Linked DNA regions of Caenorhabditis elegans. The protein of the gene in region 3 purifies or fractionates together with the protein of the main gene of each other region. This does not show direct contact. Each region holds a gene or a part of one and is shown on either strand. Other genes may lie near its edges. The genes, in order: odr-10, odr-8 and odr-4.

The links.
Region 1: the proteins of odr-4 (region 3) and odr-10 purify together in Caenorhabditis elegans (affinity purification with western blotting, with the first as the bait; one study listed by BioGRID). This does not show direct contact.
Region 2: the proteins of odr-4 (region 3) and odr-8 purify together in Caenorhabditis elegans (affinity purification with western blotting, with the first as the bait; one study listed by BioGRID). This does not show direct contact.

Annotation. Positions count from the first base shown.
Region 1 is NC_003284.9:6,863,530-6,868,271, reverse strand, and holds odr-10 (Serpentine receptor class r-10), read left to right. Parts: upstream 1-2,332; 5' UTR 2,333-2,336; coding exon 2,337-2,531; intron 2,532-2,578; coding exon 2,579-2,742; intron 2,743-2,988; coding exon 2,989-3,123; intron 3,124-3,165; coding exon 3,166-3,232; intron 3,233-3,274; coding exon 3,275-3,349; intron 3,350-3,393; coding exon 3,394-3,519; intron 3,520-3,563; coding exon 3,564-3,741; intron 3,742-3,790; coding exon 3,791-3,870; 3' UTR 3,871-3,957; downstream 3,958-4,742. UniProt on the Caenorhabditis elegans protein: An odorant receptor which affects chemotaxis to the volatile odorant diacetyl. Specifies AWA neuronal cell fate via the odr-7 pathway.
Region 2 is NC_003282.8:6,578,771-6,584,798, reverse strand, and holds odr-8 (Ufm1-specific protease), read left to right. Parts: upstream 1-2,094; 5' UTR 2,095-2,138; coding exon 2,139-2,252; intron 2,253-2,408; coding exon 2,409-2,583; intron 2,584-2,627; coding exon 2,628-2,809; intron 2,810-2,860; coding exon 2,861-3,055; intron 3,056-3,100; coding exon 3,101-3,197; intron 3,198-3,243; coding exon 3,244-3,401; intron 3,402-3,448; coding exon 3,449-3,548; intron 3,549-3,595; coding exon 3,596-3,745; intron 3,746-4,020; coding exon 4,021-4,202; intron 4,203-4,247; coding exon 4,248-4,344; intron 4,345-4,389; coding exon 4,390-4,558; intron 4,559-4,608; coding exon 4,609-4,759; 3' UTR 4,760-4,963; downstream 4,964-6,028. Other genes in the region: F38A5.2 (TraB domain-containing protein), read left to right, coding at 1-244, 300-425, 470-607, 653-967, 1,016-1,125, 1,654-1,654; C43G2.3 (uncharacterized protein), read right to left, coding at 5,439-5,586, 5,634-5,842. UniProt on the Caenorhabditis elegans protein: Thiol protease which recognizes and hydrolyzes the peptide bond at the C-terminal Gly of ufm-1, a ubiquitin-like modifier protein bound to a number of target proteins.
Region 3 is NC_003281.10:6,728,582-6,735,010, forward strand, and holds odr-4 (Odorant response abnormal protein 4), read left to right. Parts: upstream 1-2,218; 5' UTR 2,219-2,652; coding exon 2,653-2,737; intron 2,738-3,072; exon of another isoform or gene 3,073-3,167; intron 3,168-3,581; coding exon 3,582-3,778; intron 3,779-3,827; coding exon 3,828-4,058; intron 4,059-4,197; coding exon 4,198-4,549; intron 4,550-4,597; coding exon of another isoform or gene 4,598-4,603; coding exon 4,604-4,762; intron 4,763-4,815; coding exon 4,816-5,019; intron 5,020-5,065; coding exon 5,066-5,265; 3' UTR 5,266-5,355; downstream 5,356-6,429. Other genes in the region: Y102E9.5 (uncharacterized protein), read right to left, coding at 79-150, 196-342, 395-499, 1,492-1,589; Y102E9.3 (HMA domain-containing protein), read right to left, coding at 5,411-5,507, 5,665-5,939. UniProt on the Caenorhabditis elegans protein: Required, with oct-8, for the localization of a subset of 7 transmembrane domain odorant receptors, including odr-10, to the cilia of olfactory neurons AWA and AWC.

The DNA.
Region 1 (4,742 bases), on a different chromosome or scaffold from region 3:
CTAATTTGGGCGCCACGCGCCCAAATCCCCATTATTTATCACATTTATCACGTCCTATACCACACTAAATCCCAAACAATAAACCCGTAATACCATATAACGCGAGTTTAACATTTTAGAGCGGAGTTTGATCGGGGAAAACTAATTCTCGGAGAGCGAAGCGAAACTAGAATAACTTTTCTTAACCAATACATATTCTACTGTCTATTAATGTGTTTTCTATAGTTTTATTTTCAATAACGTTTATGAAAAAAGGAAAGACACTGTGTCAGTACTACTTTCGTTAAATCTTCACGGTTTGTGCAGATGTCCCTAACATGTTGTCGTCATACACAGGGAATTGAACCAGTGGGTGCCGGCACGCTAATCGAACGCGCTAACCGCAAGGCCACCAGTGTCAAGAGTTTATAATGCGAACCTTTTGTTCATATTCTTCGACACTTCAGTAGTCCCTTGAAAATTTCAATTAAAGGATATTAAGCAGTTTTTTGAAAGGTTGGGTAACTGTAATTTTTGTAAATACCTATACCAATGAATAAATGATGTTTCATTACAGAAAACCGCTAGATCTATACTTTCCAAGTATCAAGTACAGAATTACATCTGACAAGGGAAGTATTTCAACTTAATCCCGGACTTCTGAATGAAACCTATGTCATTTCGAAGAAGACTCTTTAAGTAGGTCCCTACAAAACAATTAGCGGCAGAGGAGCACTTTGACCTGGCAAAATATCGCTCTGAAAACTTTTCAGTGCATTTTTTCACAACTTTCAAGGCCCGTAGAATGGCTCCAAATGTGAATTTTTGTAGATTTTTGATAATTTCTAGGATGCTCAGGGGCCGGAGAGCACTCGGAATTTTTTTGGAATTTTTTAAACTTTTCGAAAAAATCTGAAATTTTTTGAATAAGTCCATGACAAAATTTTTCAGTGAATATAATTTTTTTTTTAAATTCAGAAAAGTTGTCAAAGTTATTTAATATCAAAATTGGGTGTTTTTACACAATGAAAAAATTTTTGAGATTTTTCGGAGTTGCAAAAACAAATTTTGGAAAAAATCGGCACCCGGAGTCGAACCCCAGACTTAAGAAATATTAATCAAACTCGCTAACCACTCGGTCATTCGATGACACTTTTTTTGTAAATGAAATAAATGACAAAAACCAGAAAACGTGACACTTTGATATCTACTTAAATATATAGGGACGTGCGAAATAGCATTGGAAAATGAGAGGACGCAGAGAAAAATTTTCAGAGCGACTTTTTTCCAGTTCAAAGTGCTCCTCTGCCGCTACATTTTTTGGAGGGGCCTACTTAAAGAAGGAGTATCGTCAATGGGAAAATTGTTTTAAAATGTAGTATTTGTACTCAAACTTTCAATTATCGCAAAAGAAAAACGGAAAAAATCCGTTAACATTCAGCATTTAGCCGTTGAAATCGACGAAAGTGGCTGAAAGTGGCTGAATTTGAATTTCGCGCGCAAATGAATCCTAGGCCACCACGCAACTTTTAGGCCATATTCGTAAACAAAATATTGATTTAAATGTAATTTTTCGAACTTTAATTCGCTTTTCTTTCTGGAAAAGTTCAAGAAAACTGGGAAGAAGAAATTGTATTGAGTATTTTTTCAAAGGACAATACCAAAACAAATAAAAATTCGAAAGATCGTCGTGGCCTAGGATTTCTGTAGTTAATTTTTAAAGATTTTTTCGACTTAAAATGCTGAATCTAAGCGGATTCTCCCGTTTTTGTTTTGTAATATTCTTAAGTTTGAGCACGAATACTACATTTTAAAACAATTTTCCCATTGACGATACTCCTTCTTTAAAGGGTCTTCTTCAAAATGGCATAGGTTTCATTCAGAAGTCCGGGATTATGTTGAAATGCTTCCCTTGTGAGTAGGCAGTAAATACATCCAATTTCACATAATCGAAGAGAGATCATTCATTTAGGATACATTGTGTTGTGATTCATGACATTTACTACAACACAACCAGCTGATGTGTGTGATTCAGGTTTTAATTGTAGCATCTTGTGATTGGAATAATAAATTCAATATATTTTCCCAATTCTGAATTTGTGGATACAAACGTATTATTTTTAACTGAATACCTCGTGAAATCAGATTTCAGATTTTGAAAACAATATATCTGACTATAAGTTGCGTATGTAGACAAATTCCAGGAAAATAATGGCTCAAACGACACGCCCCTGGCTTCAAGTTACTATAAAATAGGTTAGGAACAAAGCACATATAACCATGTATTCAGTTTAATTAATTTTTTGTTGGCGGTGGCATGAAATTCTCATAATTTCATTAAGATACCTTACAGCTCCATGTCGGGAGAATTGTGGATTACCCTAGTTGACACAGCGGACATTGTCGGCGTCACCCTCACCTTCTGTGTCAACATTGTTCTTCTCGGACTTCTGAAAACACGTGGAAAAAACTTGGGCACTTATAAATATCTCATGGCGTTTTTCTCAGTATTCTCGATTTTTTACGCCATCATCGAGTTCATATTACGACCTGTAGGCTAAACTGTTGAACTTGAAGTTAATAATGTATTAAATTTCAGATAATGCATATTGAGAACACCACTTTCTTTTTGATCTCAAGGAAAAGATTCAACTACTCCACCAAACTTGGAAAAATCAACTCTGCGTTTTACTGTGCTTGTTTTGCCACCAGTTTTGTTGTCTCAGGAGTTCACTTTGTTTATCGATATTTTGCAACTTGCAAGTAAGTACAATTGTAAAACGGGCTAAGTTTCGTATTTCTTTTGTTAGTATTGCTCTATTAGTACAGTATCCAATAGGAACAGCATTATAAATAAACTGCAAATGATCGGTTGAAAAAATGACTTGTGGAACCTTGCTGTAAAGGTGCAGCACTAATGTAGGATGCAAAACTTGTAGGGGTGGACTATTAGCTCTCTATTATTAGTATACATACTTTTAGATTAAAATACTATAACACCCTTCACAGACCGAATCTACTTCGTTTGTTCAACTTGCCAACTCTTCTACTTTGGCCACTTGGTTGCAGTGTACCCGTGACAATGTGGGCTAGTGTCTCATATTTTTTGTATCCAGATACCGAGTACACGGAAGCGGCTGTCACGTATGAGATCTATGAATTGTAGCTAGGAATTTTTTTTTTCAGCAATGTACTAAATAACCACTATAACTGGATCAAAAAGGAGAATGTATCGTACATTGCATACGTCTATGTAAGTTGATAACACGGAAACCATCAAACTAGATACTTTCAGTACCAATACGAAAACGGAGTAAGGCATATCTACCTCAAAAACTTGCTTGGATGCTTTGTTCATTACTTTGTCATGGTAAGCGGAGATGTTCCTAACATAGTTATTCAACAAGGTTTTAGTCGATGACGTTTGTTGTGATGTTCTACTGCGGATATGCCACGTGGAAAACTATGAATGAACACAAGGATGTATCTGATAGAACTCGAGCGCTACAGAAACAACTTTTCAAAGCTTTAGTTCTTCAGGTATCCCGATCTGAAACTAGAAACATGGTATAAGATGAATTCAGACACTCATCCCAACTATCTTCATGTACGCCCCAACTGGAGTCATGTTCATCGCACCGTTTTTTGACGTGAATTTGAATGCAAACGCCAATTTCATTGTGTTTTGCTCATTTCTGTACCCGGGACTCGATCCACTCATTCTGATTTTGATCATTCGTGATTTCCGAAGAACAATATTCAGTAAGAAGAAAACATATATATTACAAATTGACAAATTGCAAAATTTCAGATTTCTTGTGTGGAAAGAAAAACAGTGTTGATGAATCCCGCTCGACAACAAGAGCCAATTTGTCTCAAGTTCCGACGTGATGAATGTTTTTTGAAATACTGAGAATCGCACAATTGAGAAATTTTAATTTCATTGGACTTGTCATGAGAATGAAGTCATGTTATACAGTTTCAGGATTAAAAAGGATTAAAGGACGATCCGTTCTTCAAGTGCTATGCACTGCGGATCTGGGATTCAGGTACACTGCCTGGTGGTGATCCCTCTAAAAAAAACTTTTACTATATTTGGGCATTTTAGAACTAAAAGAGAAGTTAGAAGCAACTGACTTGTAGATAATGAAAAAGCTGAAAAAAGCTGAAAATCTATAAAAAGAGAACAAATTAGTCTGCTTTCGGTATGTTACCTGCTTATGATCTATGCTTGGCTCAATTTCTGAAAAGTAATCAGACTCTCAGTTTTTTTTTACTTCATCAAGTTGACTACAACATTTAAAAGTAACATGTTTGATGATGGTCGTTTTTATATTAAAAAAAAGGAATGAAGAGATATAGAAAATTATTTGAAAGTGGTAATAAAAATTGAAAACTTAATTTTGATGCTTTTGTGGTGTACAAATTCTCCAACGCTTTAAATGGAAGTTGTTATTATAAAAATGATATTAACTTTTAGGAGCTGTTAGTACTAGAAAGTAGAAACTAGAAAGCACTAGAAAATTTGGCTGATGATACCTTTTTTGTACTTGGCTTCTAAACCAAAATTAAAAAATTAAGAAAGAAACAACAAAATATTTTTAAAACATTCACCATTAAATTTTTGATTGGAACATGGAGCAATTGAACATTGTACGTACAATACAGTAATCTAAACATTTGAACACAAACATTAGGATAGCGGTTTCTTGAATTTGACAAAAGGTATGAGGAATTGAAAAAAAAAACATGAAAAACGTGAA
Region 2 (6,028 bases), on a different chromosome or scaffold from region 3:
GAGCGATTCTGATGAAGAATGGAAGAAAGCGATTCTCGACTCCACCATTTATCTCATCGGTACAGCTCACTTTTCAAAAGAGTCGCAGGAAGACGTATCCAACACAATTCGTGCTGTGCAACCTGATTTTGTCATGCTTGAGCTGTGTCCATCACGAATTTCAATCATATCGATGGATGAGGCTCGGCTTTTGAGCGAAGCGAAAGATCTCAACTCTCAAAAAATTATTCAGACCATGAAACAAGTGAGTTCTCATATTTTTGTTGTTGTAATGTTGTAATATTTTCAACTTTTTTAAGAACGGCGCGATTCAAGGAATTCTGCACGTTCTTCTCCTGTCAATGTCAGCGCATGTAACACGTGAACTTTCCATGGCTCCCGGAGGAGAATTCCGTGCTGCTCATCGTGCAGCAGTTGCAACTGAGGTTTGAGTATTTAAAAAGTTTTATTTACAAAGTAACTATTTCAGAATTGTCGTGTAGTTCTCGGTGATCGTCCTATTCAAGTTACACTTCAACGTGCACTGGCTTCTCTCTCCATCTGGCAAAAAATTCGCTTCTTCTTCCACGTTGCATTTTCACATCGTGAGAAGATAACTGCAGAAGAGGTATTTAATTATTCAACCTTTTCCAAAAATATTCCAAAATTATAGGTGGAACGATGCAAGCAACGTGACCTTCTGGAGCAACTTCTCGCCGAGATGGCTGATGATTTCCCACAACTATCCCAAATCTTTGTGGAAGAGCGTGATGCCTACATGACGCATGCTTTGCATATGCTCGTACACCGGAACTCAGTCGAAAAACGTGCACAATGGCTTCGTGGAACAACTGGGCAACAATTTCAACCGTTGACAGTTGTTGCTGTCGTTGGAATCGGACATACTCCAGGAATTGTTAACAAATGGAATACAAATATTGATTTTGATCCACTTATGAACATCCCACCACCAAGCCTCGGAACAAAGGTAAATTAATCTGAAGTTATTTTAATTCTTTCATTTCTTTATTTCCAGGTTTTCTCCACTGGCGTCCGTATTGTTGTCTGGGGATCTTTGGGATATTTGGCTTATCGTGGAGGACGTGCTATCTTCAATCGTGTTAGCACATTCATAGAGTCTCGTTGGTAGGTTGGAAATTTTTGTTTAAAATTTAGTTTTGGGAATGTTGAAATTAAACGATGAAATTAAACGTGAATTTTGCAAAATCAAGGTCGCACAGAGAGAGGCAGCGCGTAGTTTTGCAAGCCTGTGGCATTGTTTTCCACCGTTTTTTGGTGGTTTTTTTTCGATAAGTTCTCAATTTTACTGGTTTCACTATTTTTTCTAATGAAAATGTTACCTAATTCAATTCTCATACGATTATGAGGAAATTTCATGTTAGATTTGTTGTAAAAACGAAGTATTCTCACAATCTTATGGGAATTGAATTAGATACATAATATTTTTATTCAAAAAAAAAGAAGGAAAAACCGTACCACAGGGATGAGAAATTACGCGAATTACCAACTCCCCATTCAAAGAATGAAATAATAGCAAACCTAATCTCATTTTCGTGCTTCTCCCGTCTTCTCTCGTTATTAGCTTTTCTGGTATCACCTGCTCCGCACAAGTTACCCATGACAACCAACCCACTAACTCGTATATCTTTTCAGAACAACTCATTGATTGAAGCGGGCACAACAGCATAGCAGCCGTCTACATTCGATCTACAGGCGTTTTCATCGTTATTTTGTTCTTTCCTAAAATGTTTATGTCTAATTATTGGACTTTTAATCGCTTTTTCTTGTAATGTGATACGATTTCTAGGGTGTAGATAGGTTGAGAATTGAAACAAAATTTTTCTTCTCCCATTTTTTTCTAAACTATCCTTTTCTGTTAAATGCCCAAACAAATTGCAATTTATTTATTAGTCCCACCCGCTTCTTCCGTTTATCGATTGATTTATTCTCGTTTTCTTTGTAAAATACACAAATAATTTAAATTATTCATCTCTCTATTGCAAAATCCCCTTCTACAAGTCCCCATATTCAGCTCGCTGGTCGTATAAATGACACATTTCAATATTATTCTCTCGTGATTCGTGGTAATATCCATAAACTATTATTATCTTTTGAAAGGTGATTGGAAGAGAAGAAGAATGACGAATTCTCAAACTGTCTCACTAATTGGACCAACTCAGATGGCTCCACAATCAACACCTCCACCTCCTGTGAATGAATTGTGGTTTATTGATGCGCAGGCAATGTTTCAGGTAATTTATGTGGAAATGAGCTATGAAAGTTTTAAGAAGTGCTGAAATTATTCGATTTTCTATACTAGTTGAAAAACGGAAAAAAACGAAATAAAATCTGAAAACACTCCAAAATCAGTCTTGCGAGATAAAAGATTTCACACGAAATATTTTAAGAATTACGCCAACCTCCGCTCGTTCTCCAAATCCAATGCCAACGAAATTAATACGACAATTGGCGGATTCGTTTTCGGACGTAAAGCTCGGAAACAGGTTATCCATGTGCTATTCGCCTACGCTGAAGATCTGACTGAATCGAACAGACAATTCTTGGAGAGCTCTCTGTCTGCTGGTAATTAATGGAATAATATTATTAAAAACTGAGATTTAATTCAGATATTGAACTGGTTGGAAACTTGAATATTGATGGACAATCACAGATTCTTCCTGGCGGGCAGTTCACCCTTCAGCTGACATCTCGAATGCTTGAAAATCGAAGTATCAGCGAATTTTTGGATATGAATGTGATGTTCAACAATGAACATGTTCTTATGGAAGGAGCTAGTTGTGTCAGCAGAGTACGTTCCCATAAGATCTTTAAATTATTGAATAAAAACGGTCCGTTTCAGGTTGGATACGAGTGGTCACTTCGAGCAGGTCGTGAACAAGAAGATGTCAAATCTGCTGCCGAACGTCTTTCAATGGCTTCTTTTCGTTTCACATATCTAAACGCTGAACACGGGTTGGTGATCCGTGAGCAGAAGCCAGAAGCTGCTCAACAGAAGTATCTTGATAAATTCTCGAAAGGCGCTGTACCATATAAGGTTTGGAAATACTGTCTAAAATTAATATGATTGACGGAATTTCAGGATGTTATCGAATTCACTGCCATGCAATCTCTCACTAGGGATACATCTAATGATACGGAAGATCAAAAGCTGGTTCCAACAGTTAAGGTTACCAAGGGTAAAGAATTTTGTTATTTTATAAAGATATTAAATTCGTAATTTAGATAACAAACATTTCACTCGGCTCGTCACAATTGGTGAGGTAGTTTTCCCAGCGTTCTTTGGAGATTCTTCACTGGATTTGTACAAACGATCACGTGAGGCATTCAATAGAAGAGCTAACAATACAATGATGGTTACAGTCAATGGAATAAGAGCTGGGGTAAAAATTGAAATGTAATATTTTTTATATCGATTGATATCTTGCAGCGCGGAGTAACAACGACCACATCTGCAACTTATCTTCCACCTGGATGGGTTTCTCTACTTCATCTCCAACTTCCAACTAAATGGACGGACAATGAACAAAGTATTCATAGAAAGCGTTTCAACTTCTATAAAAATTCAATTTTCTAGGAAATTACCGTATTCGTCTTCACAAGTTGTTCAACTTGCCATCATCTAAGCCAGTTCTTCGATTGTCTCAAGCGTTGGCTCTCCACTCAGAGAGTGCTCGTTTGACCAACAAGAAGCTCATTCGAGAGCCACATTTGTCTATAACAAATTGTATGTTTAAAAATGGAGTACCGAAATTTGAGGCATTGCTTTGTTGGACCCAAAACTACAGAATTTCGTAATGAGACATCAAATTTTGCCAACTTGACAGACCCGGAAATTGCGGAAGTTTGAATCATCAAGTTGTCAAAATTCGAGATTTTAGCTGAAAAAAAAACCGCATTAACTTTTTCTTTTGAGAAATTTTCAGAACGTTTCATAACGAAATGCGGAAGTTTTTGGCAATTTTGGGTCTAAACAAGCAAAGACTCAGAATTAATTTTCAGATCAACCAGTTGGTGAAATAACCACTGTAAATGGGCCGTACAATTATCATCATTACATGCAAGATGGAATTGATGATAGTGGATGGGGATGTGCATATCGTAGTTTCCAAACTATCTGGAGTTGGTTCATTTTGAATGGATATACTGATAAACCTGTGCCAAGTCATCGGGAAATTCAGCAGGTTGGCTTAAGCAGATTTCAATTGAAGTTGTTTTATTTGTTGCAGGCGCTTGTTGATATTCAAGACAAGCAAGCGAAGTTTGTTGGTTCACGACAGTGGATTGGTAGTACTGAAATCAGTTTTGTGCTCAATGAGCTACTCAGTAAGTAGTTGTTGAGTAATTGTATTTAATAGTTAAACATTTCAGAGTTAGAATGCCGTTTCATCGCTACCAACTCGGGCGCAGAAGTTGTCGAAAGAGTTCGTGAACTTGCTCGACATTTTGAAACATCTGGAACTCCTGTTATGATCGGAGGAAATATGCTTGCACATACTATTCTTGGAGTCGATTTCAATGATACCACTGGAGAGACTAAGTGAGTTTTTTTTTTTCAAATTGGAAGTATAGCAACACAATAATTTCCAGATTCCTCGTTCTTGATCCTCATTACACTGGCTCCGAAGATATCAAAACAATCACTTCAAAAGGATGGTGTGCATGGAAACCAGCGAGCTTCTGGAGCAAAGATCATTTCTACAATATGGTCCTTCCTCAACCGCCTAGCGATGCTATTTGAGTGACTTTGTATTACCATGCCTATGAAAAACAATGCATTATATATCTAAATTATTGCCAACCTTCTACCCATTTACATTGTAATTCCTATATTTTTTTAAACCTGGATTAGTCCTTTCTCGTCTGTGATTAATTTATTTCCTCTATAGAGAAATGCTTTCTATAGCCCAACCAACGTTTTTTGGGAATAAAAAATTGGTCAAAAGTTGAGTACAAGTCAAGCATGGCGATCTAGAAACATCGAATTACCAATTGTTGGTTCTTCAAAAATTTCATTTTATTAACCATACGCAACTTTTGCGGGTTGTTGAGCTAAAAGAACTGTGCCCGGTTTTCCTTAAATGCAAATGGTACGCGCCTTTAACCGAGGACTGTAATTCCAAACTTTCGTTACTGCGGAATTTTTCATTCGATTAAAAAAACACTTTCTATTTATTAATAGTTAAATTTTATCAAATCGGAAGAAATGTTATATTATGAAAAATAAATGAAAATTCGGCAGCAAAAAAATTTTGAAATTACAGTACTTTTTCAACGCTCGAAAATTTGTCGTATCGAGACCATGTAACGTATTCTTGCGCAAAAATTGAAAGGTATTGTTTTGAACGAAAATTGTACACAATTCAATCCAACGAATTCATTTTTCAGTCATTTTATTCACAAAACATAAATCCATCAAATTAAATTGCTTCGCCCAATTGATCCGGTTCGAAATACATTCGTGCCCACTGGGTTAGTTGTCCTCCGAGTGGTTCAGAAACATAGATACCATGATCAGCAATCAATTCTTTAGGCCACGATTTGAAGCAAGTTTGGAAATCTTGATTTCTAAAAAGCAAATTGTTAAGTATTTCAAACGGCTTCCTAACACTCACATATTCTTACTTAGGCCATTGACGATGATTTTCTCAATAGCAATATGCTGGCTGGGATCAAACTTTTGATCTTTCAAGTTATCCAAACTGATGAATCGACCCATTTGCATTGTATCCGCTTTGTAACGGTAATCAACTTGGCCTGACAACATTTGTTTTATGGCACGAACAGAGATCATCGTCACCGTTGAATCGACAGGTTGACTTGACTAAAGTTTTTGAATAACTACCCAGACGCGAAACTTTTCGATCTTTGTTCAAGAAGTACGGTATCCGGTCTTGAGACGACAAAGTTTTTTAAATACAAAAGTGTGCGAGCCTTTAAAGAGTACTGTAATGCCAAACAATTTGGTAAACGTGGGTTTTACTTCAGGTTTTTTAAATGAAAAATAATC
Region 3 (6,429 bases):
ACATTAAACATTTTGTCTCAGAATACGTAGACCTACTACTTCATGTAAGAAGTATCTACAAAACTACAGTAACCTTACCTTAAAGGCGCATGACTTCTTTCAAAAGTATCAGTCGTGACGGGTTCTCGGAGTGTCGTTGCGAGCCAATCTCTGTTCGCATCATAATTACTAATTTTGGTAACAATGAAAAATTACCTGACAAATTTCTGAGCAACCGAGCTCAATTGATAATAAGATTTACATCCGGAGAAAGCGTGCATTCCGAGAATTGAGCAAAGTCTCTCTTGTTGACAAAAACAACTTTTTATCGTTCGATCCATTTTGTAGGATTGGTCGTAGAATCTTTAACAGTTCAAGTTATTAGGAAAACTAGTCGAAACCGGGTACGACTTACCGAATATATTTAGATTCGCATCCACCTCCACAGTTATATGGATTACAATCTCCATCGATTGGTCCTTTACACCATTGAGAATTATATTCATATCGTTTTGGTTTGCTGAAATTCAATGTGAACAACTACAGAAAATCAAGGGTAGCACAGTAACCTTAACAATGAAAAATTTAATCGAATGGATTAAAAATTTTAGTTTATCTTTTTGGACCGCACAAAAACTATGGAATAAACTAATGAAAAAGTAAGCAAGAATGCAAGCTACAGTAATCTTGAAGCCGCATCAGAAACTCTTTTCTATAAATGAATTTTCCGCGGTGGAACCCAAATTTCCATTTCCAGATATCTTGAGTGAATTCAAAGATCAAATAGTGTGTATTTGTAACCGAACCTCAGAATGACATCTCAAACATTTTACACTTTTTTCTACAAACTTACACTCATCCATCTCCTCCTATCCCCATTTTTTTCTCATCCTACCCCCCGACCTCTCTGAAGCAGTTTCCTACCACCGTAAATGTAACATTTTATTCGAAAATGATCACCATCTGGTTAATGGCAAAAGACCGCCCGCAGAGCATCGTAGAGCAATGCAAAAGAAAAGAGCAAAAAGCTGAGATTTGCTGCTCATTACGAGCTCGTTGAGTTGAGGATTTGGGGCCTCCGTCGCAAAAGCTGAAGCTATTTTGCTCGAAAAATCATGACTGATTGTGTTAATGGGTAGTTTTACGGTGATAAAACAGTTTTTTGGATTAGTGAGGTACCTTATTACGAGTGTAACTACAGTAAACCTTTCCTATTTGCCCAGTGGAACAAGGAGAAATTACTTTTTTTTTCGGCTATTTCATGATTTTGCCTACAGAAATTGAAGAAGTTGGCACCTACGCCGTTACTTGATGCGAGACTATACCTTACAATATTTTCTAAACTTCTTGCCAGTAAAAATATAATTGTTTTTGGAAAACTCAACATCTAATAGTAAGTGAAAGTTCTATAGATAAGATCAGAAATGAAGTAAGTAAGAAAAATGGCTCATTTCAGACCTGCTAAATTGGAAGAAACCATCCATAAAACCCATCAATCAAATGAACCAGTACCTGGATAAGCTGTTTGATGAGATATGTGTTCCGACAGAGCTGATCTGTTCAAAGATGACCAACAAAGTGACAAGTAGTGATGCGATTAATAATGTCATGATGTAGTAGATCAATTGATACTGATAAGAAGGTGGAGAATTGAAATAAGAAGGGGAGGTGGTCCAGTGGAAGGGAGAAGCTCTTGACAACTGACACTGGTCAGAAGAAACTCACGGGAAGAGACGATGGGAAACATTGGAAACAATTTCTTCAGTTTTTTGTTTTTTTCTCCGCGTCTCGTTGATTCTTATCTTGAAGCTCCACCCCAATAGATGATTTGGGAAGAATGGTTGGGTTGGGAAAAAGCTTCTGAAAAATATTCCCGTCGAAGTCAGATGTTTAAAGATGGAAAGACACTTTTAAATGAAACTCAATCATTTTGGATACAATTTCTCAGCTGGCGGTCGAACTGGAAACCAAGCTGGAAACCTTGGGAAAACAACCCTGTTACTTAATATATAAATAAATGAAGCCTAGAAAAAAATCGGTCATCAATCCAATTATTTTCCAGGAACCAAATACCTAAATTGTTTAGGAATTGAGTAATAAAATAAATATTTCTGTGACGTCACTATCTTAATCTGCCATTTCACTAAAAAAGTCTAAAACTAATTTCAGGGTTTGGTGTTTCTATGCCCGAAAAGACTTCATATTCCACCTGCCAATTTTCGCCTTGAAAACTTGTGCTCCAACACTCACAAAGACTTTTCCTCTCTGCCTGGTTCTTCAGCCATTTTTTAAATGTTGTTTTAATTTTTATTTATCAAGACTTGACTGATTGACAGTTAAAAAATTATAGTTGATAAAACAGGAAAAAGGTTTGTTCTATCGTCATATCAAAATTGTAATAGTCGGACGTTCAGGGAATTTATTATGATTCAGTGAAGGGTCCTAGGGTAAAATACAAATATTTTAGACAACAAAATTGGTAGATGAACTATAAAACTTCGATTATTTTTTTTTTTGCAAAAGTTTGCACAGTTTTATAGAAGAAAGTATTCAATTGTTGTTCTTTTGTTCGTCTATGTTCCGATTCTCAAAACATTTCGAAAATTCAATTTCGAAAAAAAAACACTCTTTCTCGATTAGAAGAATCTCGTGGTTTCAGATTCAAACATTGAAATGACTAGAAATAGAAGAAAGTCAAAGACTACAGCTACATCTCATCCAGAGTTGCATTTGGAAAAGGTGGACCCCATGAAAACAGGTAATTGAATATTTTTTAAAATTAAATTTTCAATATTTTCTAAATATTTATCAGATAATCTGCTGTTTTCACGAAATTGAGCATTCACGGTTATTGTTGACTTAGCTTTTAGTTAACTTATAAGTTGTTCCAAAAACTTTTGGAAATTGCCAATATTGGGGTCAGAAAGTGCGCTCTGTCGAACTGTCCAACAAAACAATTTTTAAGCGATTTCTGTTTTTTTTCCGTCTTTTTCTTTGAGTTTTCTTCTTTTTTTTTGCTAATTTTCAGCTATTTTACAAATAGAAAATTGTATTTCTTATTTATATTCATAAAATACAACTTTTGATTCCTAGAAATAAGTAAGGGAGTAAAATAAAACGAAGAAAGTACGATGTTCCAATTAAATCCGACTCTTCGCAGCTGTCATTATTGAAATTTGTTTTTCAACGTAAGCGATCTCTCTTTTAACTTTCAGAAAATAAATTTAAACTCTGAAGTTTAGCAAAAACGCCTATATTTAACACGCGTGCCCACTTTACCCGTTAGATGCCTTCGCACAAAAACTAATTTCACGATTACATCTTATTTTCTCGCTCGCGGCGCTCCTCCGGCCGAGCTGGGGGTGTGCATGTTACCTGAGGAGACCGCCTTTTTCTCAATTTCTTGGGTATTCATCGTCATGGTAACCCTCTTTTTGTTTGCCACAGCAGCAGTTGGCTTATCATCCACCTCCTCTGTATACTTTTCAATCAACGTCTCCACATGTATTCTGCATAGCCTTCATACTATATTGACTCGCTAAAGTATTGTCCAAAAACTAACTATCATCTACAAAAAATGACATCAACACTTGCAATTCCAGTTACAGAATCCATGATTCTGTTTGACGTCCAACTCCAGGAATGGGTGACCAAGTCAGCGAAGAATCACGAATTTGTTTTATCCGATAAAGGAATTCCGGCGTCAGCCTACTTTTTGCTCGGATCATTCTGCTCGGATGGTGACATCCACGTGGCATATGCTTCCAAATGTCCGGTTCATAGCAGTGCATTGGAAGAGGTAAAGGATTTTACTATATCACAATTTTCATAATAGTAATTATTTTCAGAATGCTACAGAATCATCAAAGATGCTGGAAGACGAATGGATGTCAGATCACGCAGAACGTCTTCTCCGAATGCTTCCCGGTGGAATTCATGTGGTTGGAATTGCCTGGTTCTCAGATAAGAAGACTTTCTCAGATCGGAAATCACATATTCACAAGACATTGGGTCGTATTCAGAAAATGAATAATCAAATCACAACGGCTAATGTGGATGACTCGATTTCGGATAATATGGTAGGTATCTCAAAATTAGAAAAATTTGCAATGTATATTTTATTTTTCTGGGAAAACAATTATTGTAAAAACTAATAGTTCCTTTCAGATATTGCCAATCCTTTCTTTTCAAAAATCAGTAATATTCTTTCACTTTCAGATCACAGTGTTCTTCGAGACCCCATCCACCACCCCCATCGGTGCCATAATTGATGTGACCAATCGTGGCAACGATAGTGCCCAAAAAGTTCAATTTCAAAAACTTGAATGGATTTCTTTGGTGACAAACGCATCTGCTCGAATTGTGCACAATGTTCCAGTTGACACAGGACGCCCAACTGACTTCTACTCTGACTTGGTAGTCGCCACGAAAAACTTTGTGAATAATTTATTCCAATGTGAATTTACACTTCTTGATGGTGAGATCCGTGATGATAAGGAGCCACTGATCAAAGATATCAAGAAGAATAAAAAGACAACGATTGAGGCACAATTGTTCTTGAATCCTCTTTGTATGTTTTTTTCTGTTTTATTTGACTATGAGACCAATCGTCAAAAAGTTCTAGATAACCGAGAGCTCGGAGCTATCGATGATATTGCGTCCAACATGCACGAAGTTCTTTTTGACATTGAAGTTCGCGCAGCTGTTCCAATCAGATCAACAGTGAAGGACGCAATCCGAGCAATCAAGCATCATTTAGTCAGGAATCTGTTTGCAAGAGTTGGTTAGTTGAAAACAATTTTTTTGAGTTTTTAATGTTCAAAATATCTATTTCAGAACTTCACTACGAATCGATGGAAGTTGTTGAAGAGGAACGATCACCAAAAACTGGAATCACCGTCCATCAACTACCTCGTCCAGCTACTACAGTACTCTACACACATCCAGCAATTCTCATCAATGATTTCCTCTTTGAGGCTGATAATGTAGAAGATGCACAGAAGAATTTTGATGACATGATGGATTTACAGACAAGCATTGGTACAAAACATCTTTTATTCTTCGAATTTCGACTAACAAATTTCAGAACACGTGGATGAAGGCTGGGAACGCGCGCTGACACCAGAAGAGATGGAAGCTGTGCGAACACCGATTGAGGATCTTCATTTCGTTGACTTCGATGGATCAAGCGATTCATGGTGCACAACGAAAACCATACTGATTACTATTGCATTGATTATCGGACTCTTGGCATCCATTATTTATTTCACTGTAGCACATTCCTGAGCTAGTTTTCCCCGAGCATTATGACGTAATTTTGCATATTTTCCAAGTATTTATATATTTTTTCTCTGTGATAAAATACTTCATTTAAATAATCGAATAAGTTAAATCGCATAATATTAAGTATCGAGAATTCGCGTGAAAGATCTTATGGTTTAATATTCGTAGAGATCTCCCCATCACACAACATTGCGTATGCATTTAAAACCACTGGTGTACCTGCATTCAAGACTTCTTCCGCCAATCTGGAATGAAATTTGTGTATACAACAGATTTCGCACAAAACCGCATTTATCAGTATCCATTTGATATAGATACGATTTTCTTTATTATATACTATACATAGGAACTTTTTAAAACCTCCCATTGAAGTATGTTTTTTTTTTTGGAAAAATAACTTACTTCATAGCGGTCACGCATGAAACAGCAGTTAGTGTAACCTTGATTGATTTTTTATCGATTGGCTCTCCTGTGGCGTGCACATCTGGGTGGCTAGTCCTAATTGCGTTAAGGATTTCATCTTTAGTGGTCGTCGAAGTCTCGAGCTTATGAAAAGTAATTGTGACAGTACTTGGAACATCGGATTGAGGAGTGCTGTGCTGAGTCACTGGTGCACACATTTCGGCAGCTCCAGCAAAAGTTACAAGAAGCAAAGAAATAGAAATTAGAGCAGTCATGTTTTTTTTTCAGAAATAGGCAATAAATTGACTGACTCTTCCCACGAAACGCCATCTTTTTATACCGTACTATTTGTGGACCTACATATTTTTTTGGTGTTTATAGAAGAATCATAAGATGTCTCTGTTTGATAATCTCGTCTCTGTTTTGATGTCTCTGTTTGATAATCTCGAAAAGACCAAAAGAACAAACTATACAACTATTGATACTACAATAGTTTTTTATTCAGCTTCATACTTTAATGGGAAGCTTCATGTATACTCATGATCTACTGTATTATTAGTACAACATTTAGTACAGTGAAGTTTGGTCAGTGGAAATGCTTTTAGTTTGATCAATAGAGAAATTGTAAGTATAAAAAGAAAACTCGGAGAAATCACTTAAGATATATAGGGTAGAACAAAATAATGCCAAAATCCTGGAAACAATTTGGAATTTTGTTTTCAAACAGCTGTGCAAAGTAATTATGTAACGCAAACCTATATATTT